4 linked regions of the Alligator mississippiensis genome follow. The protein of the gene in region 1 purifies or fractionates together with the protein of each later gene. This does not show direct contact. Links are inferred from orthologs where the notes say so. Each region holds a gene or a part of one and is shown in the gene's direction. Other genes may lie near its edges. The genes, in order: DDX6, AGO2, G3BP2 and ATXN2.

Region 1 (6,980 bases):
GCTGTCACCAGTCCCAAGACCGAGCGCATGCTGCTTGCTGGTCAGCAAAACATGCTCTGCAACCTGCGGGGGAGAGTTCAGGTCGGGTGAGCGATTTGCTGCTGCCAGAGTCCAGGCTCAGTCCAAACCTTCCTTCTGGAAGAGCATGGTGGGGATCTCGGCTGCTTGAACAGGAGCTTTGTCACCCTGGCCAGCTCCCTCTCTCTGGCCTCAGCAAAGGACAGCTATTTATTGAAAGAAAGATGGTATATAAGGTTGGGGCGAGGAGGGGAAGGACAAGGATGCTACCCAACTTTATGTTTAACTCAGCACTGGTATTTCCCCACAAGGTATGAGTTAAAAAGCAGCAAAGCCATTATAGGAGATCTAGTCCTGAAAAACAATGTTGGGTCAAGCAATAATAAATGTATTTGGTTGTATTTTAAATGCAAGAATAAACAAAAGTAGGTCTTTAAGATTAAGATACTCCATTTTTAAAGGGAAAACATTGAGAACTAAGATGAAATAAGACAGTGGTTTTCAACCTTTTTTCATTTGCGGACCCCTAAAAACATTTGAATGGAGGTGCACACTCCTTTGAATTGTAGGGGTGGGTATTCACGTACTTTTGACCATACTCATCTTTTGCAGACCCCCGGGGTTGAAAACCACTGAACAAAGAGAACGAATGAGTGGAATTAGATGGACTAAAGAGCTCAAGGACTTGAATGCAGAAGCGTGGAATTTCTTTACAAGGCAGGTGCAAAAAGTATGGACCTCTTATCCCAGTGGGGAGAAAACCTGGCTCCAGTCCAGCCTCCCAGAAGAGGTATTAGGCACCAAGAGAGAAGCTATAAAGAATGGAAAAAGGGCTGATTGACAAGAAAGCTGTGTCTTAGCTATCAGGAAATGTAAGGATAAAAATAAGAATTGCCAAAAGTCAAGCTGAGTTAGACCTTGCAAAGGAAAGAAATAAAACCACAAAGCAAAAAAAATTTCAGCAAGGAAAAAAATGGAGCTGAAGAAAAGCAAGAGTAGAGCTGCTATGTACAGAGGTTTAGGCAAGTTAAAGATAATCCAAAAATGACATGTACTTGTCTCAGTTTTCATTTAAGCATGTTGCTGTTAGAAATGTTGCTGTTAGTCTAATAGAAATGAAGACATGGAAAGGGAAACTGCCACATTACGGGTGGGAAAGAAAATCAAGGCGCTAAAAGTGCTCGAGTGATGGGGACTAATAATCTCCATCTCTGAATTCTGAAAGAACTAGCCCCTGACATCCCAGGTGTGTCAGCGAGGATGCTACCGAAAGACCTCTGTCAGCAAGGAAGTTAATGTCTCAAGTCTGGGATAGTACTGTGTGACTGGAGAACGACAGATTTAGTACCGGCATTTAGGAAGGGTGGGGGGCGGTGGGGGATAAGGGAAGGGAGGTATCAAGGTCTGACCTCCATAGGATGAAGCTTTCAAACAATGTTTGAGCAAAAGAATAGAAAACATAGATGTAAATGGAAAGTGAATACAATTGAACATAGGTTTGCCAGAGGTTGATTTTGGCAGGGGAGCCTAGTACTTTATTTTTTTGGTAACATAACCAAGGAAACCCAGGAGATCTAATCTATTTGGACCTTAGTAAAGTGTCCGATATGGTGTCACTTAGGAAACTCTTAGCTGAAGCAGAGGAAACAGGGATCTGTAGAAGGACTGTAAGGTAGATGAGGAACTGACTAAAGAGAAGACAACGGGTAGGTTTTGAAAGAGGAGGTCTGGGGCCGGAAGGCCGGTTACTAGTGGAGTTCTGTAAGGATAAGTCCTGGAATCAGTCCTATTTAAAATCCATTATGAGTGACTTCAGCAGAAAATAGTGAAAGTGTGCTAATGGATTTCACTGTCATCCCAAAGTTGCGAGGCAGCTTCAATACAAGTGAACAATATGGGTCAGATAGAAAGAAGTGGAGGAGCTTATGGACTGGAGCAATAGAAATGGGATGACATTTAATAGTAGAGTGCATGGTCATGCACTTAGAGACTAATAACAGGAATGTCTGCTAGAAGCAGGGGCTCATCAGTGGGAAAGGACAGCAGAGGAAAAAGATCTGGGTGTTTAGTTAATCATGGAATGACAGGCACCAATGTGAGACAGTTTGAAAAAGTCAGATGCTATCCTAGACTATCAGAGACCTGAGAAAGCGTACATTGGTACCTGGAAGCCTGTGTCCTTCCCAGCTAGACAGTTAGTTCAATAAAAGATATCACCCACAAAAATTCTTGCCTGGAGAATATATGAGACAAGATATTTGCAGTTGAGCTAGGGACGTACCAGTGTCATCATACAAGACGCACGCGAGACTTCCTTAGAATACCATGCACAATACTTGATCATCCGTTCACTGAAAGATTAATTAAAACTGCAATAGATGCGTAGAAGGGTCACAAGGATGGCCGTGAAACTGGGACTGAGGCCCTGCCAAGTGTGTGTCGGTAGGGGGGGTTCTCTCTGTCGGATACTTTGCTGGTACTATAAGTGGGACAGTGGGCTTGTGGTGTGCAAGACCCCAGGATAACAGGCTTTGTCCCATGGGAAAGCTGAAGCCTGAGTTTGTCTTATTGATCCTGGCACAACAAAAGCTGAGGGAATAGGATTTTGCCCTGTAAATAAGCTAGGGGGTAAACACGGGGAGGGAAAGCGATCTGAAACTCCAGGACAGCGTTGGCTCTGAAACAAACAGGCATGAACTGGCTGTGGATTATTCCAGTTTCTAACTGTTGCAGCACTGAGGTTCTGGAACAGCTTCCCGGTCAGGGCCGCAGGGCTGAAAAATACTGTTAAGGTGGGCACGATTGTTTCATGAAAGGGGTGTTGTGCCATTGCACCTGCAAGAGTAGGGACTGGACGCGTCCTGTCGGGGCTGCGCTCACGCACGTGTAATTCGGATTCTCCACGCTCCTCTTGAAGTGGGAGAGACTGAAACTCGGTGAGAGAACGTGACCTGCCTGGTCACACGGGGCCAGCCCTGCGCCTTCGCCTTCACCTTCTTCCGTCTTCTTTTTGTGCCCGAGTAGGGTGGCACATGGCACCGCAGACAGACCAGCCTCTCCCCAAGCAGGGGGGCCGGCGGCACCGCACCTTGGGAGGAGGGAAACGTTAGGGTGCGAGAGGGAGGGCGCGCAACTGCACGTCCCAAGGCAAGAAGGGCCGGCGGAGGCAGGGGCCGTGGCAGCCCCAGGCACGGGAGCCGCACGGGCCGACGCGGAGCGGAGCGGGTCTCCTGCCGCCGTTGAGCCCCCCGCTGGCAGGGCAGCGCGGCCGGGGCGGCTCCGGGAAGCGCCGGGCGCGGCCCCGCTCCCCACGCAGCCGGCGCCCGAGCGCGCGGCCGGGCCAGGCGCGTCCGCACCGCCCGGGACGGGGTTCCCGCTGCGCGGGCCTCGTGCGGGAAGCGGGCCCGGCCTGCGCCCCCGCCCGCCCGCGGGACGCACCGTGGGAACGGGCCGGGGAGCGGCAGCTGCACGTCCCCGGGGCCTTGGGAAGGCCCGGCCGGTTCCCCCGGGAGCTGCAGGCGCGTGGCGTGCGGAGCACCTGGGCGGGGGCAGCCCCGGGGCCTGTGCACCAAAACAAGAACTGAAAGCGGGAGCGAGACGCATGCAAAGCAGCGCCGGCCACGGCCGGGGGCAGCGGCCAGGCCCGCGCGCTGCCCTGCGCTCCCCGCGCGGCCCGGCCCGGGCCCTCGCTAGCGCCCGGGGACTCGGCGGCTCCCGCTGCCGGGGGGGCCAGGCCGACCCTGCCGGGCCGCGAGCGCCCCTAGCGGACACTGCGGGGCTCGGGCGAGGCGGGGCCGATGCACGTGGCAGCAGGCGGGCTCGCGGCGGCGTGACGTAGCGGCGGGGGCGTGTCGCCGCAGGCTGGCGTAGCGGGGCGGGGCCGGCGGCGTGACGTGACGCGACGTGACGCGCGGGGCGGGGCGGCGGCGCTGAGGGGCGGGGCGGCGGCGCCGGGAGGAAGGAGGAAGCCGCCATCTTGGAGCGTCGAGTCGCCATAACAAGGCACCGAGCGGCGGCGGCCGGAGGATTTTCTACCCGGGCGGGCGGGGCGCGGCCGGCGGCGGTGAGCGGGGCCGGGCGGGCGCGGCGGGCTGCGGCCTCCCCCGCGGGGGCCCGGGCCAGGCTGGGCCGCTCGGGCGCGGCGCTGCGCAAGGACCGGGGCCTGGGCCGGGCCCGGGTGGGGAAGGGGCGGGCGGGAGGCCCCGGCCCGTGTCCGGGCTGCCCGCGGGGACGGCGCCCGGCGGCGGCCCATTGTCTGCGGGCGCCCGGCGCTGCGCAGGCAGCTCCACGGGCGGCGCGGCCCGGCCCGGCCCGGCCCGGCCCGCCCCGCCGGGGGCGCCGAGGCCCGGCAGCGGGAGTGGAGCCGCCGCGCTCCTTTGTCTCCTCGGGATGCGGCGCGTGGGGAGGAGGACGCCGGGCCGGGCCGGGCCGGGCCGGGCCGGGGCTAGGGGAGAAGCGGCCGGGCAGCGCGTGGCGCCAGGGTGCGGCGGCTCGTGCCGCGGCGCGGCCTTTGTTCGCGTCCCTGGTCCGCCGGGCCCTGGTCTCGCGGGGGCGGGGGGCTGCGCGTCTCGCCGCGCTTCTCCCGTGACGGGGCGCGCAGGGCTGCCTGACCGCTCCGGCCCGGCCCGGCCCGGCCCACGCTGCTCCGCAGCTGCCTCCTGCATGGGCGCCCGGTCCCCGCGGGACTGCGCTTGTGTTTGCTTTGCACACGTGAAGTACCTGCAGCTGAAATGTGCAAGGAAGAAATTCTCGCCAGGGCTTAGTCCGCGTGTCTGGCAGAACCACAGTCACTTGCTTTAGTTCACTGCCCAGATCAGCTTTAGTCTGTGCTCTGGAAGACTAATTGGGGAAAATAGATATTTTTTTAAATTTGGAAAATTCGTTTGTGAAATGAGAGATGGCAGAAGATTCAGACAGAGATTTTGCCCTTTTAAGCATGGTTATATTTGAATCTTGTCGGTGGGTTTTTATCGCAGGAAGAAGGCACGTACCTGTCATAAACAGCGTGGGGCGCGCGTTGATCAACAGGTTCCTTCTGTTTACACTGGCTAACTAAAAAGTGCGGCAGTGCAGTGACACCGAACCTGTACAGCTACCCTTGCAGGTCTTGTTTTGAAAAGGTGGTAGCCCTTTAAACCCCTAACTTCATGCTGCAAATTGGGGTCCTTTCATCCCTGTTTATTTAATAAATTCATTTTTTTTCTACCTGCAGGGTGCAAATTGTGGGTGTGTGTTAAGCTACTGCGTTGACTAGCTTACTATCGTTACCTTCCCAATGCTATGCTCCTACGTTTTACATTTGTTTTCTATGTATCCTCTGAGGACACCATGTGTTTGTTCATTTACTGGCATTTTGAAGGTAACAGGAAACTAGTGATCTAAAACAAATGCATCTTATTTCTAATTTGAGGCAGGTACTAAGTTAACCATTAAAAATGTCTTCTAATTCTGAAGTAGAGTAGAGCCAGGAAGCTGGCATTGGATGGTTTGGTGTGAGCAAAGCAGTTTAAGCATGTCTAGTAGCTTATTTGTTTAAACCTAAGCCCTGACTTAACAGGTACCCGGGACATCTGTTTCAAATGATCAGTGCACTCTTCTCCCCCCATTAAGATATTAAATTAGTGATTCAAGCAATGGCGTGACTCCCCAGATCCTCCCAGAAGATAAATTTTGTGGTGGTGTTTTCCTGTCACAAATGATTATATGGTGTTAACCCTTTCTTTTGTTCTTCTTCAAAAGCAGCTTTATTGCAAGATGGGTAAAATAGTTGCATGACTTGAGCCTGTGTTGCAGGATGTCTGTCTGCAAAGCAGTTCACATGCAGTATCATGAAAGCAGTAGGATTGTTATTGTTCTTTTTGTTTTGTTTTTCTCTTTTTTTGTTAAGCAGAATTTCACTAGGTGCCAGTAGATGTTAGTTCTTTGTTCAGTTAGAAATAACAAGGGGAGCACTATTCATTGGTGGCACTTATTTTTCATTTGAAGTACTGTGTACTTGTTCTGGAAGTGCTGTCTCATACCAAAAGTGTGCAGTGTCCTGTCAAATATGGAAATGTGAGTTATTTACACCAAAAGATCTGTGTGTTAATTGTGTGTTTTTACTTCTTTTTCAGATTGAAGTGAGTGATTCAGATATAACTCAACTTTGTTAGAGGGCTTTTTTTAAAAAAGTTGATCCACAGTGCATCAGAGCAAGTTACTACTTACTGTTGAGTGACTTACAGGTGCTTGCCTGCATTGCAATAAAGGACTCATATATTGAGCAAGACTTATTTATCTCTTCGTTTTGGAGAGTCTTATAAACTGTTATTACAGTTTCTGTACTGACTTTCAAAGTTTTGAAGTCTAAAAAGACATCTTTAAAAACAAACATGAGCACGGCGAGAACAGAGAACCCTGTTATAATGGGTCTATCCAGTCAGAATGGGCAGCTGAGAGGCCCTGTAAAACCCAGTGGGGGCCCAGGAGGTGGGGGCACACAAACCCAGCAACAGATGAACCAGCTGAAAAATGCCAACACAATCAATAATGGCACTCAACAGCAAGCACAGAGTATGACCACCACTATTAAGTAAGTATTTACGTAAATGTATGTGGTGTTTTAAACAAGCTGCAGATATTGAGGAAAGTTGTTAGGTTTCTTGTGTTGAAGACTGTTTTTTTTATACTGCTATTAATTTATTATAATGTTGGCAATGTGAACTTTGATTTAAAAAAATGGCAGTATACTTTGTTTTCTAGGTTAGTGCTTTTCTCTGACAACTATCTTTTTAACTTACTGGAACCTCTTAATCATTTTATGTTTGGTTTTTTTTCCTTGAGAGCCTTGGCCTCAAGCAGCACCTTGTTTAAATACTAAGTGAGGCAGGGGGAAGATGGGTATCCATGCACTCCTAGGTCAAGGTACCATGCTGTTGCTGGCGGTTTCAAGGTGATGAAACTTAAAGCCATTTTGTTCTGAT
Region 2 (7,762 bases), on another chromosome or scaffold:
TCTTTGATTGAGATGTCTGTGTTAATAGTATCTGTAGTGTGCAATGTGGTGTATTCATGTACTTTCATTTGCATTAGTTGATATGCTGTCCGTGAGGGTCTGATGTCATGCATTATTGTCACATTACCTATCTTTTTTTTTTACCAGCAATAAAAGTAATGAATAATTCAATGTTTGAAATGGTTGCAAGTGAGGTGATGACCCCACTTCAATTTTATATGCCTGGAGCAGTGATCTAAACCATACCACCTCATCTGCTCAAGCAATAAACAAAGGGAAACAATGACTGAGGACAGGGCAGCATACAGGTATTTCCACCCTCTCCTGTAGTTTAATAAGAGTAGTTCAATAAGCCTGCCTGTCAATAGGTGTAGCAGCACACGTACCATGGGAGAAAGTTGTCTAATTTCTTCCAACCTACATAAATAGAGCAGGTTGACTTAGTGTGGGTGTGCATGTGCTCGCAGACACACACCGATGAGATTTCCTCTCCCTCTTCCTCTTGCCACCTGGCTCTTCAGCTCCATGTCAGAGGTCCTCTCTTGTTTGGCCTTGTAGCGTTCTGGAGCCCTGAAGTTATTTGATCTGTTCCAGCTATAGAAAAACACAAATTTAGTAGTGACCGTAATAAGCAAAAATAGTAACAGGTCTTCATAGTTAAACACATTTTGGGGGCCTGGCCACAGGAGTTACTATTGTCCTTTGTATTTTGATACAAGGCCCTGGCAGCCATGAGGGAGAAGGACGAAGGGGATGCCTCCAGTGGGGACGATGCCACTCCACGCACAACACAGATGGTGCAGAGAGGGAACATCAGGAGAAGGAAACGCCAGGTCCTCGTCATTGGGGACTCCATCCTAAGGGGAGTGGATGGTCCCATCTGCCGACCCAACCCCGTGGCATGAGAGGTCTGCTTCATGCCTGGAGCTCAGATTCAGGACATCAGAGAGAGGACCCCAGCCTACATTCGACCGTCAGACCAGTACCCCATGGTTCTCATCCACGTGGGAACAAATGACGCGGACAGAGGCAACCCAGACTGCATCATGAAGGACTTCGAGGCCCTGGGGGCTAAGCTGAAGGAGATGACACCAAGATTTGGGGTGAGAAGGGAAGAAGGGAAGGACAGGTTCCTCCTTGTCCTTAAGCAGGAGGAACTTGCCCTCCAGATAGCTAGTTCAAACCTGGACATAGCGGGGCTCACAGAAACCTGGTGGGATTCATCCCATGACTGGGCAGTCAACATTAGGGTCTATAGGCTATACAGGTGGGATAGAATGGGGAGGAAAGGCGGGGGTGTGGTGCTCTACGTCGAAGAGCAATACACATCCTCTACCAGCAGGATGGGGTCCGAGGAGGGGCAGGCTGAAGTGCTCTGGGTCAGAATACAGGGGGGTTGTGAGGAAAGGGACTTAATGGTGGGGGTCTACTATGCACCTCCCAACCAAGGGGAAGAGCTGGACCATGAATTCTCGGGCCAGCTTGCGGAGGCACTTAAGGCAAGGGATGTAGTCATCATGGGTGATCTAAATTACACGGACATCTGCTGGGAGGAGCAGTCAGCCAGGTCTGACTGCTCACGGAGGTTCCTGGCCAAGATACAGGACCTCCACTTAACCCAGGAGGTACACAGTCCCACCAGGGGGAATGCCCTCCTGGATCTGGTTCTGGCCACAGGCAATGACCTGGTGAGGGGACTCCAGGTCCTCGACCACCTGGGCGATAGCAATCATCGCTTGCTGGAATTCACCATCCAGCGCAGGATGTCAAGGGCCTGCAGTAAGGCAGTAGCCTTGACTTCAAGAGGGCCAACTTCAATGAGCTAAGGAGATTAGTGAGGGAGGCACTAGGGTCCTGGAGAGTAGGGGAATTGGGTGCCCAAGATGAGTGGTCGTTCCTTAAGGAGATGATACTCAGAGCCCAAGGGGTGACAATCCTAACAAGAAGCAAGGGGCGCAAGAGTGCCCAAAAGCCCCCCTGGCTCACCAAGGGCATTTGTGAATGCCTGATTGCCAAAAAGGAGGCGTACACCCAGTGGAAGGGAGGGGCTATCACCAAAGAGGAGTATACCTCCACCGCTTGGTTCTGTAGGGGGGCTGTTAAGAAAGCTAAGGCAAATACGGAACTAGGGCTAGCATCAAGGATCAAGGACAACGAAAAGTCCTTTTTTAAATACATAGAATGAAGAAGGCCCCGGGTAATGTGGGGCTGCTGCAGGACTAGGCAATCTGGTGGTTGCACCAGAGGAGAAAGCAGACCTGTTTAACAATTTCTTCACCTCTATTTTCTTGTGCAGGGACTGGGACTCCCTTACTGAGATTCAGGATGGACTCAGGAGGGACTCTGACAGGCCTAGGGTCAGGGAAGACCAAGTTAGGGAACTTCTGGAGGGGCTGGACGTGTTCAAATCAGCAGGTCCAGATGCTCTCCACCCCAGGGTGCTGAGGGAATTGGCAGGGGTTATCACGGGGCCCCTGGCACGGCTTTATGAGCACTTGTGGTGCTCTGGCCAGGTGCCGGATGACTGGAAGAGGGCCAATGTGGTCCCCATCTTTAAAAAAAGGAAGAGGGAGGACCCAGGCAACTATAGGCCTGTTAGTCTTACTTCAATCCTGGGGAAGCTTTTTGAGAAGATTATCCAGGAGCACATCCGTGATGGGCCAGCAGTGGGGATGATGTTCAAGGCGAACCAGCATGGGTTCACTAGAGGCAGGTTCTGTCAGACCAACCTGGTTGCCTTCTATGATCAGGTCACAAAATCATTGGACGCAGGTGTCGCCGTGGACATAGTCTTTCTGGACTTCAGGAAGGCCTTTGACACACTCTCCCATCCCATCCTCATTAAACAGCTAGGTGACTGTGGCATTGATGCCTACACAGTCAGATGGGTCGCAAATTGGCTGAGGGGTCATACTCTGAGAGTGGTGGTGGACGGGTCATATTTGACCTGGAGGGAAGTAGGCAGTGGGGTCCCCCAGGGCTCCGTCCTTGGGCCTGCACTGTTCAGTATCTTTATTAGTGACTTGGACGAGGGGGTGAAGAGCAGCCTGTTTAAATTCGCAGACGACACCAAGATTTGGGGTGAGAAGGGAAGAAGGGAAGGACAGATTACAGCAGGACCTGGACAGGTTACAGGGGTGGGCAAATGAAAATAGGATGGGACTCAATACTGACAAGTGCAAGGTGCTGCACTTGGGCAGTGGGAACCAGCAGCAGACCTACAGGCTGGGGAACTCCCTTCTTGCCAGCACAGTGGCAGGAAGAGATCTTGGAGTCATTATTGATTCCAGGATGAACATGGGCTGCCAATGCGAGAACAGTCAGTAGGGCTAACCGTACCTTGTCGTGTATCCACAGATGCATCTCGAGCAGGTCCAAGGAGGTGATCCTCCCCCTCTACGCGACACTGGTCAGGTCCCAGTTGGAGTACTGCGTCCAGTTCTGGGAGCCGCACTTCAGGAGGGATGTGGACAGCATGGAGAGGGTCCAGAGGAGGCCACCCGCATGATCAGGGGGCAGCAGGGCAGGCCCTACAAGGAGAGGCTACGGGGCCTGAACCTGTTCAGCCTCCACAAGAGAAGGCTGAGAGGGATCTGGTGACCATCTATAAACTTACCAGGGGGGACCAGCGGGGTTTTGGAGAGACCTTGTTCCCCTGAGCACCTCCCAGAGTAACAAGGAATAACGGCCATAAGTTGCTAGAGAGTAGATTCAGATTAGACATCCGAAGACGCTAGTTCACTGTCAGGGCGGCTAGGATCTGGAACCAACTGCCAAGGGAAGCGGTGCTGGCTCCTACCCTGGGGGGCTTTAGGAGGAAGCTTGATGTTTACCCGGCTGGGGCCATTTGAGCCCAGTTCTCTCTCCTGCCCAGGGAAGGGGTCAGCCTAGGTCTACAAAGTCTCTTCCAACCCTACATCTATGAGTCTATGATATTGGGTGTTGTATGTATATATTTTATATTTGTTGCTCTGTGTGTGTGTGTGTGTATATGTGCGTGTAATATTTGTTATATATCTATATCTATAGATATATATATTTGTTGTGTGTGTACATGTATAATATATATATATATAAAACGCATCGTTGTGTACGTACATTTCATACGTGTTGTTGCGGCAGTGAAGTTGCTGCAGCAGCCCGGGCCAGCACTACTCCAGTCTTTTGTCCTTTGCTCGTTTGTAACCGAGAGGCCACCTTCACGTTTCCGCACGTACCGCAGAGACGCCCCGGGCCGCGCCCCTGCCCCTGCCCCTGCCCCGGAGAGCGGGGTGCGCGCGGGGCGAGGCGGAGGGGCCGTGGCCGTGGGCGCAGCGCGGTCGCAAGCCCGGGCACGCAGATCCGGCGGCCCCCGCGAGGGGGTTAAGGAGCAGAGGCAGGCCCAGCACACCCCCTGGAGGAGGCGGCGCCGGCTGCTCGCCTGAGCCAGCACGACCTGAGGCAGCGGAGACGGGAAGTGGAGGCGGGAGAGGCCGGGCCGCGAGGAGCGACGTGCCCCGTGTGCGGCTCCACGGCAGCGAGCTCCAGCCCGGGGGGGCCGCCCCCCTTCCCGCTCCCCCCGCCAGTGACAAGGCGGGGCCCCGCGCCCGCCCTCCACGTGGCTCCCACCCGCCCCCTGCGCGCCGGACTGAGGGGCCGTTTCCCGCCGGCGGGGCGGGGCGGGGCTCCACGTGACCAGGCGGCTCCTCCCCTCGTCGGCCCCGCCCCCTCCGCGGCCTCCACGTGACCAGGCGGCTCCTCCCCCTCCGCGGCCCCGCCGACCCGCCCGGCTCCCGGCTCCCGGCTCGGCTCGGCTCGGCTCCGCTGACCCGGACAGAGTGAGGCGCCGCGCCCCGCCGCGCCGCGCACGGAGACATGTACCCGGGAGCCGCCGCCGCCGCCGCCGGGCCGGGTGAGTCCGCCCGCCCGCCCGCCCGGGCCTGGCGGGGCCTCCGCAATGGCCGCGCGCGTGAGGGAGGGAGACAGGGGGGTGGGGGCAGGGCAGGGCAGGGCAGGCCGCCGCCGCCGCCTGAGGGAGGCCCCTGCGGGCCTGGCGGAGCAGGGGGAGGCGTGGGCCGAGCCGGCGGGTCCCCCGCGCTCCGTGGGGGCGGAGCGGGGTCCCGGGCCGGGCGGGGGGGGTGCTCGGCTCCTCCCCGCTGCCGCAGCTGGAGGCGGCTTCGCCCCCTGCCGCCCTCACCGGCTCCTGCGCTGCTGGGGGTGGGCGCAGGGAGGATGGGGGGGCGAGGGCGTCCCTCCTGGGGCAAGGCCCTCCTGCCCTCCCTTCCCGGGCGCAGGGTCCAAGGCGCGCGCCCCTCGGGGCAGAGGTTGCTGCTGCGCGTCTGCCCGCGCTGCGGCGGGGACACGGCTCCTACGCCTCGTATTAAAAAAAAGAAAAAATGCCTGTGAGCTGGGCTGGCGGCGAGCCGGGCAGTGCCACCCCGATGCTGGACGCCAGCGTCGCCACATCTTGGTTAGTGTGTGCTCGCCGCAGTCCGACCTGTGAGACGTTGCAGCCGCCGTATCGACGTCCGTGTCGTTACCTGACTTCTCAAACCCCGTCGCTCGTCTGGCCTCTCGGGCCGTGCCGCTCAGATTGGCGTGGCGTTATCCTTCTGCCATGTTCATCTCTCTCGCTTCACCGGGGTTGTCTGGGTTTCTCGGAGCAACGTAAAAATACATTGATTTCACGAGAGACTACGTTTTGGTTGATACTAAACGTGAAAATTTAGTCTTGGGTTGAGAGAGAGAGAATCTTTAATTAAGGAAGTGTGAACAAGAGGCGTCAGTCAGTCTTAATGTTCATCTCAATGTTTTCCTAATCTCTTCTGGGGGGGAAAAAAAAAGAAGGAAAAGCTTGTTGTGAAGAGGGACTTTAATTTCTGTCGTCTTTTCACAGTGATGTGCTCTTAACTTTATAAGAGTACAGTTATTTGGCAAAGTCTGAAACTACTTTGTCATCTCGTACTCATTTTTCTTGCACCAGTATTGTATGTGGGCTATGGTTTTTATCTATACTGGTTTACAAATTTACCTTGACACAAAAAAGATAAAACATTTGTAGACATCTGCTGACTGAAGCCATTGGACTATAGTGCAGTTTTAAATAAAACGCTGAATACTTTTAGATTAATTAATAATAAAACATGTAGCTAGTTTAATGCCTGAATTTAGTGATAGTTTTACTCTTTTTAGGGTGCCCTGATACCTCCTAAAAAGCCCTTAAAAACAAATTGTAAAACTTACACAATGTATGGGTTGTTTTTCCTCTTGCTTTCTACTTTTCACCTGAGCCTCTTGTTCCCTGTTGGTGATGCGCTGTTTGAAGAGAAGAGTCTGATTTTTATAACAGGCTTTGCTTGCAGAAGAAAAAAGAATGGATGAACTTTATGCTTTTATTACTTCCAAATATGAAAAAATCAGTTTTACCAAGTTCTCTCTTATGAGTCACTGTGTTTCTAGGAGTATAAAAAACTAAGTTATTACCGTTCATTTGCTAGTAACAGAGCTATAATAATGCCTAAAAGGGTTGCTTTTTTCTGCTATTATTTTAATCTATTTGCAGCTTGGTGATATACCTTAGGGGTTCTCATGTTTGCTTTTCAACTCATGTAAATGTCTTCAACAGTTCAAGTTTTTTAGTGTGTTGGTGTGACTGGTCAGAATCTGGTTTTATATCCTAATTCAGATGAGGCGTAGAATCCAGATCATTCAGTTTGCGGTTTGCACTCAGTAGTAGATTAAGGAATGAAAGACAAGCTGTTTGCTGCAGCTATTACTTCAGAAGGTGCTGCTTTGATCCACTGGTCCTGCACAGCGGATCAGAGAAATGATATCTTTTGGAGTAAGAATGACAGCAAAATATTGGAATATCTCTGCAGTCTGTTTTCTTTGCACGGAGTGATAAACATGCATAATGTTGACAAGCTTGAAATATTTAGAGTTGAAAACAGCATGTTGCCCATGCCTCCGCAGCCCCAGAACAAGGCTTCATTTTATTTCAAGGAGAGCTCTTGGTGTCCGTTTTTCGTATAGTATGAGAGACATCTAGTCAACCACAGCACTTACTGGCTGAGGAGTGCACCGGAGCAGTCCATGGCCCCTCACGGTGCAGAGATGGATACCCGATGGCCTTTTTTGTTTAGAATTCGAAGTGATTGAGAATGGAGAAAATGGGTGTCTTTGACTTGAGAGTCAAAGCTTTTACCTGGATGGACTAGCATGGGATGATGATGCTGGTTCTCATCTTCTAATTCTAATAGACAGATTTGCCTGACCTGGAATTAAACTATTTCTTCTGAGAGTGTCAGGATTGTTGAGCTTGCCCCTAAATAGTGTCAACTGTCTTGTCTTTTCATATCCATTGCAGAATTTGCATTGCTTTATCTAAAGAACAAATTGCATTGAGAACTTCAGTAGTGCCAGGTGTAAATGAGGAAGTGACAGATATAATGGCTATTCTGTGTCTCAGTTTGTGTTATGATAGTTTTAAATTTGTTACTATAGTAATATACAGCACTGTTTAAAGTTTATATTGCGAACTTGTTTTTTCCTGTAGTGTATGTGTTAATATTGTCAACACCTGTACTATATTTTTTCAACAGTCTGTATAGCCTTAGGGACAGCTCGAAGTATGAAGTAGTTGCTATAGCGCAAACTCAGCTGACCTGTGTATGCCAGACTTGCTGTTATATTCATGTATGCTTTAGTGCAGCCTTCTTGAATAACAGTGAGAATTCCCTGCACAGAAAAATCTATGACTGGGTGCTAGATAAGATTGCAGTGA
Region 3 (7,695 bases), on another chromosome or scaffold:
CAATGTACCAACTTAGCCAGTGGCCCACTCAGGCCTCAGGTGTCTGTCAACATGCCTGGCAAGCCCCACTTAATGAGCCTGGGCCCTGTGCCTTTCTCTCAGGGTATGCTCCCCTACCTTTCACCTCCACAGGGTAACTGCACGGCAGTGGGGGCTGAGGCTTTCCCGCACCCCATACTCACCATCCAACCCCAGCAAGGTGTAGTTTCAGGTCATGGCCCAGGACCAGGAACCTCCTCCATCCCCATAGTTCCTACTCTTCTCCTCCAAGTGTTCTGGGAGCAGCAGATCTCAAGCTGGGCAATGTTACCCCAACAACACCCCTGCAGCAACTGCTAGCCCTGCTCCTCTTATACTGAGGCTGCTCCACCCTACTCCAATCAGGCAGCCTCCTGGCTGTCATGTGACTGCCTGGTTGTGTCTGCTCACACCTACAGGCCTTCTCACAGACTGTGCAAGCCCTTAAAGTGGCAGGCACCAAAGCTGCTCTGCCACATCAGGCTACATAAGCGTGGTACTTAATGTCTGTCCTCATTTTTGCAGTTGCCTCCAAATGAAGTGTTGGCTTTTCCATACATTTTTGTTATGATTTTTAAGTGAAGTTACCCCAATAAACACTGACCATCTGTGCTCTTGCTTCTTCCCCTGACAGCCATCGGAAAGCTTGTCAAGAAATGTGTCTCTGTATGTTTTCTCAAAGCCTGGAGTGAGGTGCGGATGAAACAGCCCCTTTCAGCCCTTCTGACTTTAAGCCAGCTCCAACTTCTTGGTTTTGATAGATCTGTTTCGAAATGGCAGTTGTCCGCTTCAGTTTTACATGGTTCATTTCATCTGAAAAAACAGCAGTTGCTTATGCTGTTATCTGTGTTTCTTGGATTCTCTGCCACAGTGAACTGACTAGCTGTGACACATAGAGGTGGGAATGGGGCAGAGCAGCATAAAAATAAAAGACAACTAAATGCCAGAGAAAGGGGTAAGGAAGGCAAACAAACAGATTGAAATGTAGGAGAAAATCATTTCTTGTGTAAAATATGGGTGGAGTCTAACAGGTTCAGAGAGGTATGAGGTTTCATACCCAAGAGCCTACTTCATCAGATGCTATGAAAGGACACTTAGATTTATTCTCTTGTATAGCTTCTGTATAGCTCTTGTATAGCTCTTGTATAGCTTCTGACCAAACAGGTTGTTGCACATGAAAGCTCATGCCTCCCTGAACCAGTTACTCTCTAAGGCAACCTTCTACCTGACTTCAGACTAACAGTTAAATGCTTCTCTTGCATCAGACATGGAAACAATAAAAAAGCCTCAAGACAAACCAGTTGCGGCAAAGTATTGTAGCTCCTATCAGATGGGGACAGAATTTTTATTGAGCTTACCTCTCAGGGTGGCATTTCAATGATGTTGTCTTTCTGTAGCCCTGACTGAACGCCTTCATACAGTGTAGGTCATCAGGTTAGATCACGCTGACACACTTTACCTGAGGTGACCATGGAAACCATAGAGAAACTTCAAACCTCATACCTGCCTTTCGAAAAAGAAAGGCTGATAGGAAGACATTATGCTCTTCTACAGTGGCAATGCATAGGGGTGCATGGGGGTGCACGGGCACCCCCTGAGAGTGCCGGTGCACCCCCTGACCGGCCACACTCGCTGATGACTCTAAAACTCATGCTAAACTTGGGCCTACTCACAAAAGTTAAAATACAGAATAATAATGCTAACTGCATATTGCAGGAGGATGTGAGTTCATGGCTAGGCCAGCTGAGAAGGAATAATGAAGTATCTCTTCCAGCTTATCTTCCTATATTCAGGATGATTTCAGGCAGACTTAGTTGTCTGGTGTGTAACTATATGAAATGTCTATCCTTGATTAATTAGTATGGTAAATATTTCTTTTGCAACTAACTCGTGTTTATGTGCAGGAAGAGACATTCTCCATATGTGATAGATGTCTCCTCCTGATTTAGTATGTTTTTCCTGGCTGTTAATCAGTTTCTTGATATGTTCCAAACTGGATAACCTCTTGTAACTGAAGAAGGTAATTCATTCAGATTAGAAATTTCTGATAACCAGTAATAAGCAGGTTTTTCCTGTCAATTACTGCTTGGGACTCTCTCTTGATTTACACGACTAAAAGAATACTTTGAAGATGCTAAACTAAGGGTATAAAAAGGCAGTAAAACAGCAAACAGCACGTGCGCTCCGAGAGTGAGAAATCTACTTGCTTGAGAAGTTGTAGAGAAACAGACTGCCTCCTTCTCGCACGTTTGGCGAGAAATCATCACGTTATAGCTAATTATGGGACTCTGATTTGGTTTGGGCTCACTTGACTTGATTTTAAATACTTGTAGTAAATAAAGCCTTTCTGTCACTCATCAAACGTGGTGTCGTGTCAATCCCTAGTTTGGGCTAGTTCGGAATCCTAGATTTTTCTGTGCTAAAACTCGCTGCTTAGGCAACGGGCAGGGAGTTCTGGCAGCCCCCCTGCAAGCGCTGGCTGGGGATCAGAGTGCCACTGCGCTCCCGGAAGCAGCTGCAACCACTCCCGGAAGCGGCCACAGCCACTTCCACAAGCAGCTGCAGCGATCAGCTGTCTTGTGATGGGCCACAGGGGGATCCCCCCTGCCCCTCTGGCTGGCAGGATTGGCCATGGGGGACCCCCTCCCCCCAGTTGCTGACTGGTCGCTGGAGGGGCATGTGCCACCCCTGACTTAGGCGGCACCAGTTGCCCATGCTCTTCTAGTTTGCTTTTGGATGGATTCCAACATCATGGTACTAATCTTTATCAAAGAAGGATTCAGGTGCCTTCAAACTAAAAAGAGTGTGTGTAATTTACCGTGTTCTTTGGCTGGACGTTTATGCTTCTCAACACGACTGGCTGTTTTGGCACCCTTTTGGGAGGACAGCTTGGCGTGCCATTTCTAGCCTACAAGGGTACTGAACGTTCTCTTCTGCCCCGACTTGATATTTCAAATTCTAGTAAGGGAGGGTGGTCTCGTACCCTTTAACATTGGCCCTCAGCCAGACCTGCTGCCATCCCTTGGGGCTGCGCCTCTCCTACACCTCACCTAGTGCTAACCCAACATTGAAGCTCCTTGTCCAATAGGTTGAGGCAAACAGCCTTCTGAAGCGTTTCTAGCTGTAAAACTCAAAACAAAACAGAGTGTCCCAAAACAAAACTATAAATGAGCAGTCCTTCTGCAACAGTAAAGCATATTATGCCTTTGTCCATGATGTCCCCATTCCGTGGGGTAGTAAAGGGGCTGAAAAAACAGTTACTATGGCTCAGTGCCCCATTTACTCATGATTCTAATGTTCTCTTATGCTTTCTCTTTTAGGCTCCTTGTCATCCCAGATCCAGTCGTCTAGTCTTGTCTGCCAGGCCAGCACTTCAAGAAAGTTCTCTGGCTTCTCCAAGCCAGCATTTGATAGGGCTTCCACCAATCGCCCCTGCTGGGGCATGCTGTGCCTGCGCTTCTTTCTCTCCCGCCCCAGGAAGTCACTTCCAATTCCCCTGGGGTTTTCCTCCAGGCTGTTCTTGTCTCCCAGCTCAGGTTTCACCCACTCAATCGGCATCGGCATACGCTCATAAAGTGTGCCCATGCTGGTTCATCTGGTGAAAATTTGACCCCTCATTGCATGAGGTACCAAATACAGGCAAACCCCACTTAGTGCTCTTAATTACTTCCCAAAAAAACCAGTGTTAAGCAAAAGGAGCATTAAGTGAAACCTAAAGTATTTGAGAATCCAAGGTGGTGACTGCAAGTGTTTTTAATGACCTAAGATGGTGACTGCGAGCATTACAGCGAAACTTGCTGAGCGCTAAGTGAAATCAGGTATCAATTTAAAATGAGCATTCTAGCACTAAGTGAAACAGCATTCAGCAGGCTTTGCCTTTAACAATGTTTCAAAATGTAGTGTCTTTTATAACTTGTCTTGGCTGAACTCCTAGCCTGTGGCTGTTTTCAGAATGGGAAGGGGGGAAAGGGAGCAGGCATCAGTCAGGGTTTTTTTCAGCCCCCACACCCAAGGCCAGGCAGGTATATTAAAACCCCAGCTACGCAGAGGCTCCAATTCACCCACCCCACTATTCAGCGGGGCCTGGGGAGCCCCTGGAAGGAGCTCCTTCCCTGCCTTTCCCCCCTCCCATTCTGAAACCAGTAAGCACGGGCAGAGAGCCTGGCTGTTGCTATGGGAACCTGGCTGCGACTCCCCCAGCTAGATTCTTCTCCCCCTGGAACCAACAACAGCGCACTTCTGTCTGGTCGGGGTAACGCTGTAACTGAGCGCTTTGCAGAACAGGCTCAAATTACAGCTGGGAGCTGCACCTCTGTCTGAACCCCAAGGTGCTTATGCCCGATTTCAGCTAACAGCCGCCGTTGGGTAGTTGTAAACCACTGTCTGAGCAGGGTGTAGCTCCTAAACGAGCCTGAGCGTCTCCGGAGCGAGACCCCAAACCAGCCACAGCCCCGCGAACGCGCTCGCGGAGAAGAACCCGCAGGGCGGGGGGGAAGACTTTTTACTGGGCACCCGGGGGCTCTAGCCACCCGCTGTCGCTGGTTGGCTTATTTCCCCGTCCAACAAGCAGTCGCCAAGGCCTATTGGCCGGCAGGGTCCCGCCCCCCGCCGTGGCTCGAGGCGGCCCGCGCGCGCGACCCGCGTCTCACGTCACGCGAGCGGAAGCCGGTGGCCGCCGTTGAGGTTCGGCGGGAAGTGAGCGCTCCGCCGACGTCACAATGAGGGCGGCGTGGATTGGGCAAAGGCGGTGACGGGGGCTCATGCCCTGGCAGACAAGGGTGAGACAATAAGGGAGACGCGCCGAGCGGCCACACGCCAGCCCGCCTGCAGCCCGCGCCGCGCCCCTCCCCCCGCTGACGTCGCCGCCCGGCTCTGCCCGCGCGCCGCGGCCCGGCCCGGCCCGGCCCGGCCCGGCCCCGCTGGCACAGACCCGCCCGCCGGCGGCTCCGGGGAACGCCCGCCCCGCACCGAGACCTGCGCCAGGTGAGCGCGGCCGCGCCGGGCCGGGGCCGCCCGGCGAAGCCGGCGGGCTGCGTGTACATGCCAGCGTGCGGGGGGGCACTTCCGGCTAACGGACGGGGCGGGGCTCGCGCCGCTTTTGTTCCCAGTCCCTCGCGGCCGGGTCTAACCGGCCCTTGTTCCCGCGCCCAGCGGCTTCCAGGTCTCCCTTCCCTTCTTCTTCGGTTTGGGCGCAGGCGCCCACGGCCCCGGGAGTGGCGGCAGCAGCCCCAAGCCCGGTGCCATGGGCGCCCGCTCCTAAACCGGGCCGGGGAAGGAGATGTTGGCGTTGGGCCGGGCTGAGGCCCCCCCACCCACTCCCCGGCCTGGGCCTGCCTTGTGCCCACCCGCAGGCCCAGCTGCCCTTGGTGGAGGACCCTGTCCCGTTCCCCGCCCCCCACCCAGTCTGGAGGAGCTTCCTGGCAGCTCAGCTCCTTGCATAGCTTTATTCCCCTTAAGTTGCCCGGAGCAGGAAGGAGGCCCCTGTGGTTCCAGGCTGCTAGGCAAGGACCCACCCCTTGCCCCAGGCCAAGCTGGCAGCTGGTTAGTCTTTTTCCTTCTTGCTCTCAGTCCCACTTCAAATCTTGGGCTTGGTTCTGAGCGGCTCCTAACGGGCAAGTGACAAACTGGAGGACTTGGGGAGGAGAGTGAAATTCCAGGGGACTGCTGCTCCTGCCTTGAGGGCAAAAATGTGTTCAATGTGGTGGCTGTATAAAGACTCTGAAGTACAAAGGGGATGGGCTTGGGGGGGGGGGGGGACAGGAAGGTGTAAACATCTCAGGGAAGGATTATGTTGCAAGAAAGGAAACACATTGGTTGATATGGAGGAGAAAAAGTGAATGGAATCACTAAGAAAGTATTTGGCATGCAGATAAGATGTGGGTAGAGATTGGCTGATACAGTGAAATTTATGAGCCGAGTCCAGAGAGTGCAGCCCAAGAGCAGTTCCAGAATCGTCTTTCCATTGCATTGACAGGCTCATTTTTTTTCAGCAGGGCTTTCCCTGCAAACCTGAGTGGTGCAGTCTTCCACCTGGGTTTGAACCTTTCTTTTAGGGTACATGCATTGAGCCCTGCCAATAATATGTGGCTATGTCTAGGCTGCAGTTAGAAAGATCTTAGCTAGCTTTAATGTAGCCAGCTTGGGTATTAGATGTCTAGCCTCAGCAGCATGGAGCTCTGTTACAGGGTAAATCAGCACTTGCTGAGATTCATGCTGTTCTGGCCAGACTGTTATCAGTATCTGAATTAGGTTGAGTGTATATCTTTAGCTATATTGCAGTCACTTTTTTAACTGTAGTCTAGAAAAGCCCTTTATTTCTAACAGCAAAACTTAGGGGGTAGGCAAAAATTTTCTGCCAGGGTCTTTATCATTGTAAGGATGATTGTTATGGAGGAGAGCTGCCATTCTCTCTCTCTCTGCTTTGCTGAGCAGCTACTGTAATGAGATTGGGAATTCTGACTCCAGTATTGTGTAAGGCCTTAAAATTGGTGTCCTCTGTGTATTACTCCAAATGTCCTGTAGTATTGACATTGGTGGATACAGATTCTCCCTAGCAACCCAGTACAAGTTCAGAAGCTGTCAGCTTCCTGATATTTTCCTTCAGTGAATTTTCTATTGATTTATTTATCCTCTATCAGTCCTCGGGTATAAAACCTTTGTGTGTACCCGGATGAAGTTCCAGTTATTTATGAAATATCACGTACTTTTATATGAGGTCTTGTGACAGTTAAAATGCAGTTCCTTGATTAGGAGGTGGTTAAACTTTTGTGCTCTCTGCATCATATCTGAATCCCATTAAAAAAGAAAGGAATTGCCAGTTCCATAAACATGAAAATATATGCAGTCCCATTGACTTAGGTTGGGACTGCTTATGTGTGTCTTTGAGACCTAGTCAATTTGTGTCTTTAGTGATTCCCACTAAAGGTCTCATGTCCAACAGATGTGCAGATTTATCAAACTGCTCCTCTCTGCAACAACCAGCTAAAGTAAAGATAGGTGCTTTCAAGCTTGCTTTGGAGGGTGACCAACCTCAGGCTAATTTGGATCAAGCAGTGGAAGTAAGTTCTAAAATGAAGGCCTCTTATTAGTACAGTATTCTCCAGCTCTGTCTTTAAATGAAGATCCCATTTGTTTGTTTCCTTTGCATGGTATGGAAGAGGGGGACACTACTGAGTAAACAGATCCTCAGCTAATTAGCGTCCTGGTAGTTAAAACTTAAATTGCCACTTGAAAAAAGAAAAGTGGGCAACTTGGGTAACAATATTGGGATCATGTATCCTTGACAAAGGTATGCAGCTTATTAAGTAGGCTGTCACTTACATTTTTTTTCTCAGGTAAATTCAACCTCTTTGTTCTTAAGAGTTTTGCTGACAAAACCTGCCTTAACGCCATCATTGTGCTCAGTATTTTCTTCATAGAAACAAAGGACATGATCTTCCTGTTGCCACCTTTTGCCCAAGTGTTCAGGCTCATCAGCCTCTTAATGTCTTTGTCCCAAGATGTTATGTTTTTGACTTTGAGTTGACCTTCTATGAGCCACTTTCAAAATGTTTCTCTGTATTGCAGTAATATGCTTATTGGTGGATGCTTTGTTTTACTTGGGGTATTACCTAAGGCTTAGTACCTTTGGCAATGTCTAAAATGTACAACTATTGTAGAGTGCTTAGATTAGATCAC
Region 4 (6,994 bases), on another chromosome or scaffold:
TCACAGTCGCCTTGTCACTGAGAACTATCCTTAAAATCCTGAGCAAGACAATGATACCCAAAATTGTTCATCTCTTGAAAATGTATCTGATCATGATCATATATGTTAGAGCTGCTCATGCCCCTGTAATTTCTTGTTGATAGTCATCAATTCTGAATGAAAACTGATTTTAAAGTAGCTTTAAAAAGAATGGTCTAACCTAGGACTCGAATATCAGGGCCTGCGAATGCATGATTTGCTCTTGAGGATAAATCATTGTGTTCTTCAACAGCTGCTTAACTTGGCAGAATAAGACTAGCATAGTCTTGAACTCCTCTCCCCACAGCTAGATTGCTACGGTACCTGGTAGATGTGTTGTAGCTGACTTAAAGTATCCTTGGGTACTTAAAGACGCTGCCGTACAGAGGTTTTTAAAGCCACCTAGAGACCAGCGTCTTGACTAATCAGAAAGATTTCAGTAGTGCATAGCACAAAAGCAAATCCAATAGCTATCAAGCGAGTCAGCCTAGCAGCAAGGGAACACTTTTCCAGCGGTACAAGGATTATAATGGGGAGAAATATATATATATATTTTTTTTCTTTTTTTTTTTTCCTCCAATGCGCAGATATATAATATGCATGCATGGAGAAAAGAAAATCAAAATAAATGAAACTTGTAGCCTGCTCCAAAACTCCAGGTTCTCAAACTGCATTTGGAGACCTCCCAGGTGATCCATTTTGCTGACTCTGAAGCATCACCAGTCTTCAAGCACTGGCACTAACTCTGTCCAGGTCTGAATTCAGCCATTAGAGTTTATGGAGGCTTTTTTTTTTTTTTTTTTTGGACTGAGCTCACTGGCCATCTCCTCTCCATTCTTGAGTCAGCATTTTTTTGGGGAAAAGCTCAGTTGTGATCAAACCAGGAGGAATCGCCAAAATGGGAAAGGTTTCTGTTGATTTAGTGCTCTTGCTACAAGCTGAAGTGTGATCAGAATTAAAGTATATTGGGGAGGAGATGAGCTACCATCAATTTGAAGCCCTGCATGGAGGTAGGGGAAGCTAACCTTCTAGGCAAGAGGGATGCAGAGAACATGACCAATATACCAAGTGATAGAAATTATCTGCAGTGAAGATGTAGGACTCCAGCAAGGTTTTCCCATCAAAAGCCTTGGAGTGGGGTCGCAACAGGACCACTGACCCTCTTAAAGGCACTCGCTACGGGATTTTGGTAGACTTCACATGGAAGGAGGATTCGCTTGTCTTCATAAACCCCCTTGTGGATGTTGTCACTGAGGGTAAGTTAATTTTAATGGCTTTGTTGATGGCAGTCACTTATTTCCTTTTTTAATCTATTGGTATATTTTGTATATATGTGTCTTTTAATATACATGTATTTTTATTTTTACTTGGTCTCCATGCACAGTACAGTAGGGCAGAGAAGCAAGGGTAATAGACAATGGAAAGCAAACACAGGGCGCAGCAGTGCAAAGAACCACGCTGAAAGGGAAAACCAGTCCAACCGCAATCACGCAGCACTTAATGAAGTGCTGACAAGAGACTTCATGTTTATTTGCAAAACTGCAGCTCAACTATTGAACGCTGCCCCAAAGCTGTTAAATAAAATGTATCCCCATGTTGGGGTGCTCAGATTGGATCTCCTGGCAGGAAATCTATCAGGATTTATACAGTAACCTGAAATTGTATGTGGTTAGAATAATCTAGCATGCAAAAACATGAGGTAAAATGGCTAGTATTGGATAATCCTCGTGTGCCAGATTCCATCCAAGTGCATCTGACCCTTTATTTATCTCGCGTGCCTCGACTTTAAAATGACACCAGTATACACACAAATTGGACAGTCTTTTCTAGCTCCAGCTAACTGGAAAGGTCCAGAACATGCCTGGTCAGGAACCTAAAAGTCCCTCGACTGCAATTTGTATTGTAGCGAGATGAGGCCTTAACGCTACAGTCCTGTACGTAAGGCAGGGCTGGACACAGGAATGGGTAAACCGGGGGCTGGACAGAAAGGGGATCCAAAAATGGTAATTTAAAAATTATTATTATTATAATATCATCTCTGGCAAAGGGGGGGGCCTGATACTAAAAGTCTGCCCGGGGCTGCCAGGAGCCTAGGTGCAGTGCTGCCTTCCGGCAGCGTCCTGAAGAGTTTAGCCAGCTGTAGGCCTACTTGTTTCTTTATTTAAAAGTGCATGGTTCGACTAACGTTCAAGAGGCTTTCTAATAGCAGGCAGCGGGTGGCTGTACGTAGCGTAGTGGGTGCAGACGGACCGAGTTCTTCCACAGAATTGTTTAATTTTGTGGTAAACGTTGCTAAAAAACCTTTGTCAGCGGTAACTTTATCTCCTTCCAAGCTGCACGAATGCTGTCCCTGGCTTTCGATTTTTGTGGCCAAGAAATGACTAGCTGGGCATAAAATGGACTAAAGGGGAGAATTCAAGTGGAGTTTCTTGAAACGTTGGCTCCGCACGCTGCGAGCGTTTCCAATTAAAGAATTCCTGCTCCGGTGTCCATTTCGGCTGGCATTTCCTGTCCTCCAGCCAGTAATGTGTCACCACATCATTATTCAGGCCTGCAAGGTAAAACAAAGCAAGAAACTTAGGAGCCAAATGTACGAGGTGGGGGGGGGGGGAGAAGCTAATTTTAAGAAGCTATTAAATGTTGGCGTGTTCCTTGCGTGCTACCACCCACAGCTCCCCTAACCCTACGGGAAAGCAACCGCTTTGCGAGCAAGGTGTATAAATAATGCCTGCCTCGTGGCATAATTCCTCTTTATTAGACTCGAATCCTGGGGGATCACGAGTCTCGACGAACGCCGCCGGACTTCTCGCGGGTTTGGCTATCCGTCCACTCGGCGGCAGTCCGGCAACTACACGAGCTCACGCTAATTACGGACGCTGACTCCTTAAAAATTATTTAAGCGGGACAGCCCCAATTTTTTTTCTCGTACGTATGAATTAGCCGCGCTCGGAGAGAACTAGTAACCAAAGTCAGTGCAACCAGTGCCACCAATGCATCCAGCCTGAGACCACGAGTTAAAAACGCCAGGCTTATCATCGGACGTAGCGAGGATGCTGACGACGATGATGATGATGTTTGTTTTGAGGTGAATTGGCCTGTCAGGCTCTACAGCAAGATTAAACACTGCTTAAAAATAATAGCCCTGGGGAACGTGAGCCCTGAAAGCTGGCGATCCAGGACGATAATCCCCGCTGAGCCGGTTTGGCTTTCAGCTGGAACCGGAGGTATTTGGTGACCGAGCGCCGCAGCCGGTGTCCGACACCAGAACCGGGACAAGCCCGCGCCCGTCCCCGCCAAGGGCTGCGAGGCGAGGCGAGGCGAGGCGGGCGAGTGATGGAGGCCGCTCTCCGGTGGCAAAAGGGGCAACTTTTGCCCCAGACGACGGGGCAGAGACGCGCGCTGATGTCCGAGGTGTTTGTGAGTGACTCGCGCCCCGGCCCCGGCCCCGAGGGGGAAGCCGGGCCCCGTGCTTCGTGCTTCACGGGTGGGTGGGCCGCGGGGAGCCTCGTGGGCCGCGTCCGGGCCCGTGCGTGCGCGGAGCCTGGCGCGCATGTGGGGGAGGCCTGTGCCTGAGGGGCGCGGCGCCGGGGGCGGCGTGCGGCCTAGCCGGGCCCAGCGGCTCCCCCGCGGGCGGGCGGGCAGCCGGGCCGGGCCAAGCCTCGCGGGAGCCCCCGGCTCCTCCCCGCGCCTCACGCGGCCGCCTCACCGCCCGGACCCTTCCGACTCGCCCCAAAGAGTCCGGCCGGCGCCCCCCGCCCGCCTGCCTCTCCCCCGGGCGGGCGCGCTGCCTGCCCCGCGAGCCCCTCGCTCGCTCGCTCGCTCGCTCCGTGGAGCCGGGCCGGGCGCGGGCGGGGCTGCGCTCGGCGAGGCGAGGCGAGGCGGGGCCGGGCCAGGCGGGCGGCCGCAGCGTGCCGCGTCCCCTCCCCCGCGGATCCCTCCGCCCCGCGCCGCCCGCCGCCCGCCCGCCCGCGAGCCCGCCCGCCTGGCCCCGGCTCCGGCTCCGAGTCGCGCTGTGGCAGCGAGCGGCCGAGGCGGCGGCAGGAGCGGCGCGGCCATGTCCCTCAAGCAGCAGCAGCAGCAGCAGGCGGCGGCGCAGGCCCCCGGCGGTGCCCGCAAACCCCCCGGCGGCGGCAGCGGCGGCGGTGGAAGCGGCGGCCCCGGCTCCGGCTCCGGCTCCGGCTCCGGCCTGCCGGCGGCGGCGACACCAGGCGGCGGGCGGCAGAGCGCGGGCAGGTGGGTGCGCTGCAGCGCGGCGGCGAGAGGCCATTTTCCCGGGCAGGGCCGGGCCGGGCCGGGCCGGGCCGGGCCTGCCTCGCCTCTGCCTCTGCCTCCGCCGGGGCCATGTTGCGAGCGGGGCGCCTCGGGCCCGGCCTAGGCCGCGCGGCCTCCCCCCGCGCCCCGCGCCGAGGTGAAGCTGAAGGACGGGCCGGGCAGCGCGGCGTCTCCCCGCCGCTCCTCTGCCGGCTTATCCCCCCCATAGCCGCGGGGGCTCCCGCAGCGGGGGCAGGCGTCGTCTCCCACCCCGCGCCGCAGCCCGGCCCCGGTGCTGGGGTTGCGGCCCCGCCGCCGCCGCGGAGGACGGGCACCTGCTCCTTTCACTTAGGGGCGGGCACGGCCCCTCCATCCGTGCTAGCCGGCCGGCCGGCCGGCTCCTGACGTTTCTGCGGCGATTCGGTGCGAGTATCTCGTGGGGTTGGGTTGGGTTGGGTTGGGGGCGTTCCCGCCTGGACCTATTTATTAGATGGTTCCCTTTTAAAAAGGGGCAAAATCCAGGTGCATGAGAAGTAGATGGTCCCTCCTTGACACCAGACACAACCCAGGTGCGTGAGGAGCAGATGGTCCCTCCTCGACGAGCAGGGCGGCGTTCGAAACGCTTCGCCGTGTTTCGGGGCGCGCGCCCGCGGGACGTGGTGCCGGTCTCTTCCCTGCGATGTAAGCGGCGCGAGGAACAAGCGCGCGGCCCCCGTGGCCAAACGTGACCGGCGGCGGGCGGCTAGTCCGCGTCCTCCTCATATCTTCAGCAGATCTTCGTACCCGGCGCGGTTTTATCGACGTGTAGGCAGGACGGGTGACCCGCGAACAGGCACCGTGCGAAGGGACGCGTGGTTATTTCTCCGCGTTTCTCCCAGCGGGTTTTTTTGGCGTTTGTTGACACGTTCCCCCTCCAGCTGGGACCTGTTTTGAGGTGCCTACAAGTAGAGCCGCTGGCGTGGCGCAAACTCCCCATTTTTAATCTTTTTTTGCTGTCGTAGTACTTGGGGTCGGGAGGAACCGAAACAGATCATCAGTCCGACCCCCTGTTTCTGGACTGTCTGTGTAACTGGGCCCAGTAGTCTTTATTAAAAAGGAAACGCGGTGAAAGTACTTGTAAAAATAAATGAATAAAATAATAATAATAGTTCTCACCAATAAAGAGAGAGAAGCTGAAACATATTCACAGATGTTAGATTTCACAGACGTTGGGGCTGGAAGAGGCCTTACAAGATCACCGGGTCCCAGTGAATTCGGGGTTTTCCAGCTTGCTTCTCGCGGTTCAGGCAGAGTCTCTGCATTTGCCCTTTCCGCGGCGAAAACTGGGTAGTCGATCTTGCTTTTCTCCAGTCTCCTGTAAAAGGAGAGCAAGATGGAAGATGGCTGTCCCACCTGGATGCAGCTGGTCAGGAGTATTGGGCATGACCTCTCCCAGGTCCTGCGGAGGAGATGGCCGCTTTAGAAATGAAACCCACTTGCGGAGAAAATCAGAAAGCTAAACCATCCCTTTATCCCGATGAGCCAATGTGCACAAGCGTGTGTGGGAAGCAACTTCCAGTGACCACTAGACTCCACCTTTGTTACAGTAACTACTTCACAAGACATCAAGGGAACTATTCATACTTCTGTTTTCATTTGAAACCCCCCATATGCTGCACATTGCATCAGTAGCTACTTCTCATAGTTTCACAGCTGTCAGGGGCTGGAAGGGACCTCGCAGATCATCGGGTCCAGCCCCTGCTCTAGGCAGGAAGACCACTGGGGTCAAGTGACCCCAGCGAGGTGGCTGGCCAGTCTCCACTTCCATAGATTTCATAGACATTAGGGCTGGAAGGGACCTTGGAAGATCTTCAAGTACAGCCCCCAGCCCCTTTAGGGAAGGGTAAGAAGGCCTTTGCTCAGAGGACCTGTTTAGTGAATTTTGTCCTACCCCTGATTTTAGTACCTTTCCCAATGTCACCCTTTCTCTGCCTCACTTCTTCCCGATCTCTAAGACCCGAATTATTTCCGTGCTTCCACTTCTCAAGGCTGCTTCAAGGTTTAACTCGATTTTTAAAGTATGGTGCATTCCTCTGAGAAGAAGAGAATTGCACATGTAAAAGAGTTAGCAGGGATACAGGGTCTCGGAGGCCCAAGTTAGTAATAAACCACAAATATGAAATGGCACAGAATTTTCTGAGTAGCCCCAAATTAAATTAAAGTAACAATGTTAAATTATCGGACAAATAAATGGGTAACTTGTAGGTCATTTTAAATAGCGACTAATGCTCATAGATAGTGATTAGTATGGTGTTGCTTGCATACTTTCTCGTAAGCTTTTTAATCAACAGCATGAGCCCCTGACCTGTAGTAATTATGAGGAAGGCGCGTCGATGCCTGTTATAGCAGCTGTCAGAGAATGTGTACTGTAAATCTGACCTGGTGTTCTCTCTTCTCCATATACATGGAAGGGGTGCTAAAAGAGGACTAGCTCTTGACATTATTAATGTATTTGTAGAAAGTCTAATGAAAAGCCTCTCCCTCTTTTTGAGGGGGGAGGCTTTAATTTTGCACCTGCAATATGTGTGTATTTTTATGAAGGCAGTCTCATTTTGTAAAATACTGAATTGAAATGATGTAGGTAGGCTTTCACAGAGGCTCTGAGTGGATGCAGGCCCCAACTGAGAACCTGAAAAAGTACAGTTGTCTAAGGTATTTATCAAACAAAAGAAACTGGTTTGCAGTT

The links.
Region 2: the proteins of DDX6 (region 1) and AGO2 purify together in Homo sapiens (affinity purification with western blotting; 5 studies listed by BioGRID and IntAct, with this or other methods). This does not show direct contact. The link is inferred for Alligator mississippiensis from reciprocal best matches to the Homo sapiens genes DDX6 and AGO2.
Region 3: the proteins of DDX6 (region 1) and G3BP2 purify together in Homo sapiens (affinity purification with mass spectrometry; 3 studies listed by BioGRID and IntAct, with this or other methods). This does not show direct contact. The link is inferred for Alligator mississippiensis from reciprocal best matches to the Homo sapiens genes DDX6 and G3BP2.
Region 4: the proteins of DDX6 (region 1) and ATXN2 purify together in Homo sapiens (affinity purification with mass spectrometry; 6 studies listed by BioGRID and IntAct, counting the BioPlex papers as one, with this or other methods). This does not show direct contact. The link is inferred for Alligator mississippiensis from reciprocal best matches to the Homo sapiens genes DDX6 and ATXN2.

The regions. Positions count from the first base shown.
Region 1 is NC_081839.1:35,215,501-35,222,480, forward strand, and holds the start of DDX6 (probable ATP-dependent RNA helicase DDX6), read left to right. Parts: upstream 1-3,973; 5' UTR 3,974-4,081; intron 4,082-6,131; 5' UTR 6,132-6,389; coding exon 6,390-6,589; intron 6,590-6,980.
Region 2 is NC_081826.1:7,730,711-7,738,472, forward strand, and holds the start of AGO2 (protein argonaute-2), read left to right. Parts: upstream 1-4,757; 5' UTR 4,758-4,854; coding exon 4,855-4,891; intron 4,892-7,762.
Region 3 is NC_081825.1:164,553,009-164,560,703, forward strand, and holds the start of G3BP2 (ras GTPase-activating protein-binding protein 2), read left to right. Parts: upstream 1-4,695; 5' UTR 4,696-4,778; coding exon 4,779-4,796; intron 4,797-4,805; exon of another isoform or gene 4,806-5,001; intron 5,002-7,695.
Region 4 is NC_081833.1:3,641,576-3,648,569, reverse strand, and holds the start of ATXN2 (ataxin-2), read left to right. Parts: upstream 1-3,981; 5' UTR 3,982-4,072; coding exon 4,073-4,251; intron 4,252-6,994. UniProt on the Homo sapiens protein: Involved in EGFR trafficking, acting as negative regulator of endocytic EGFR internalization at the plasma membrane.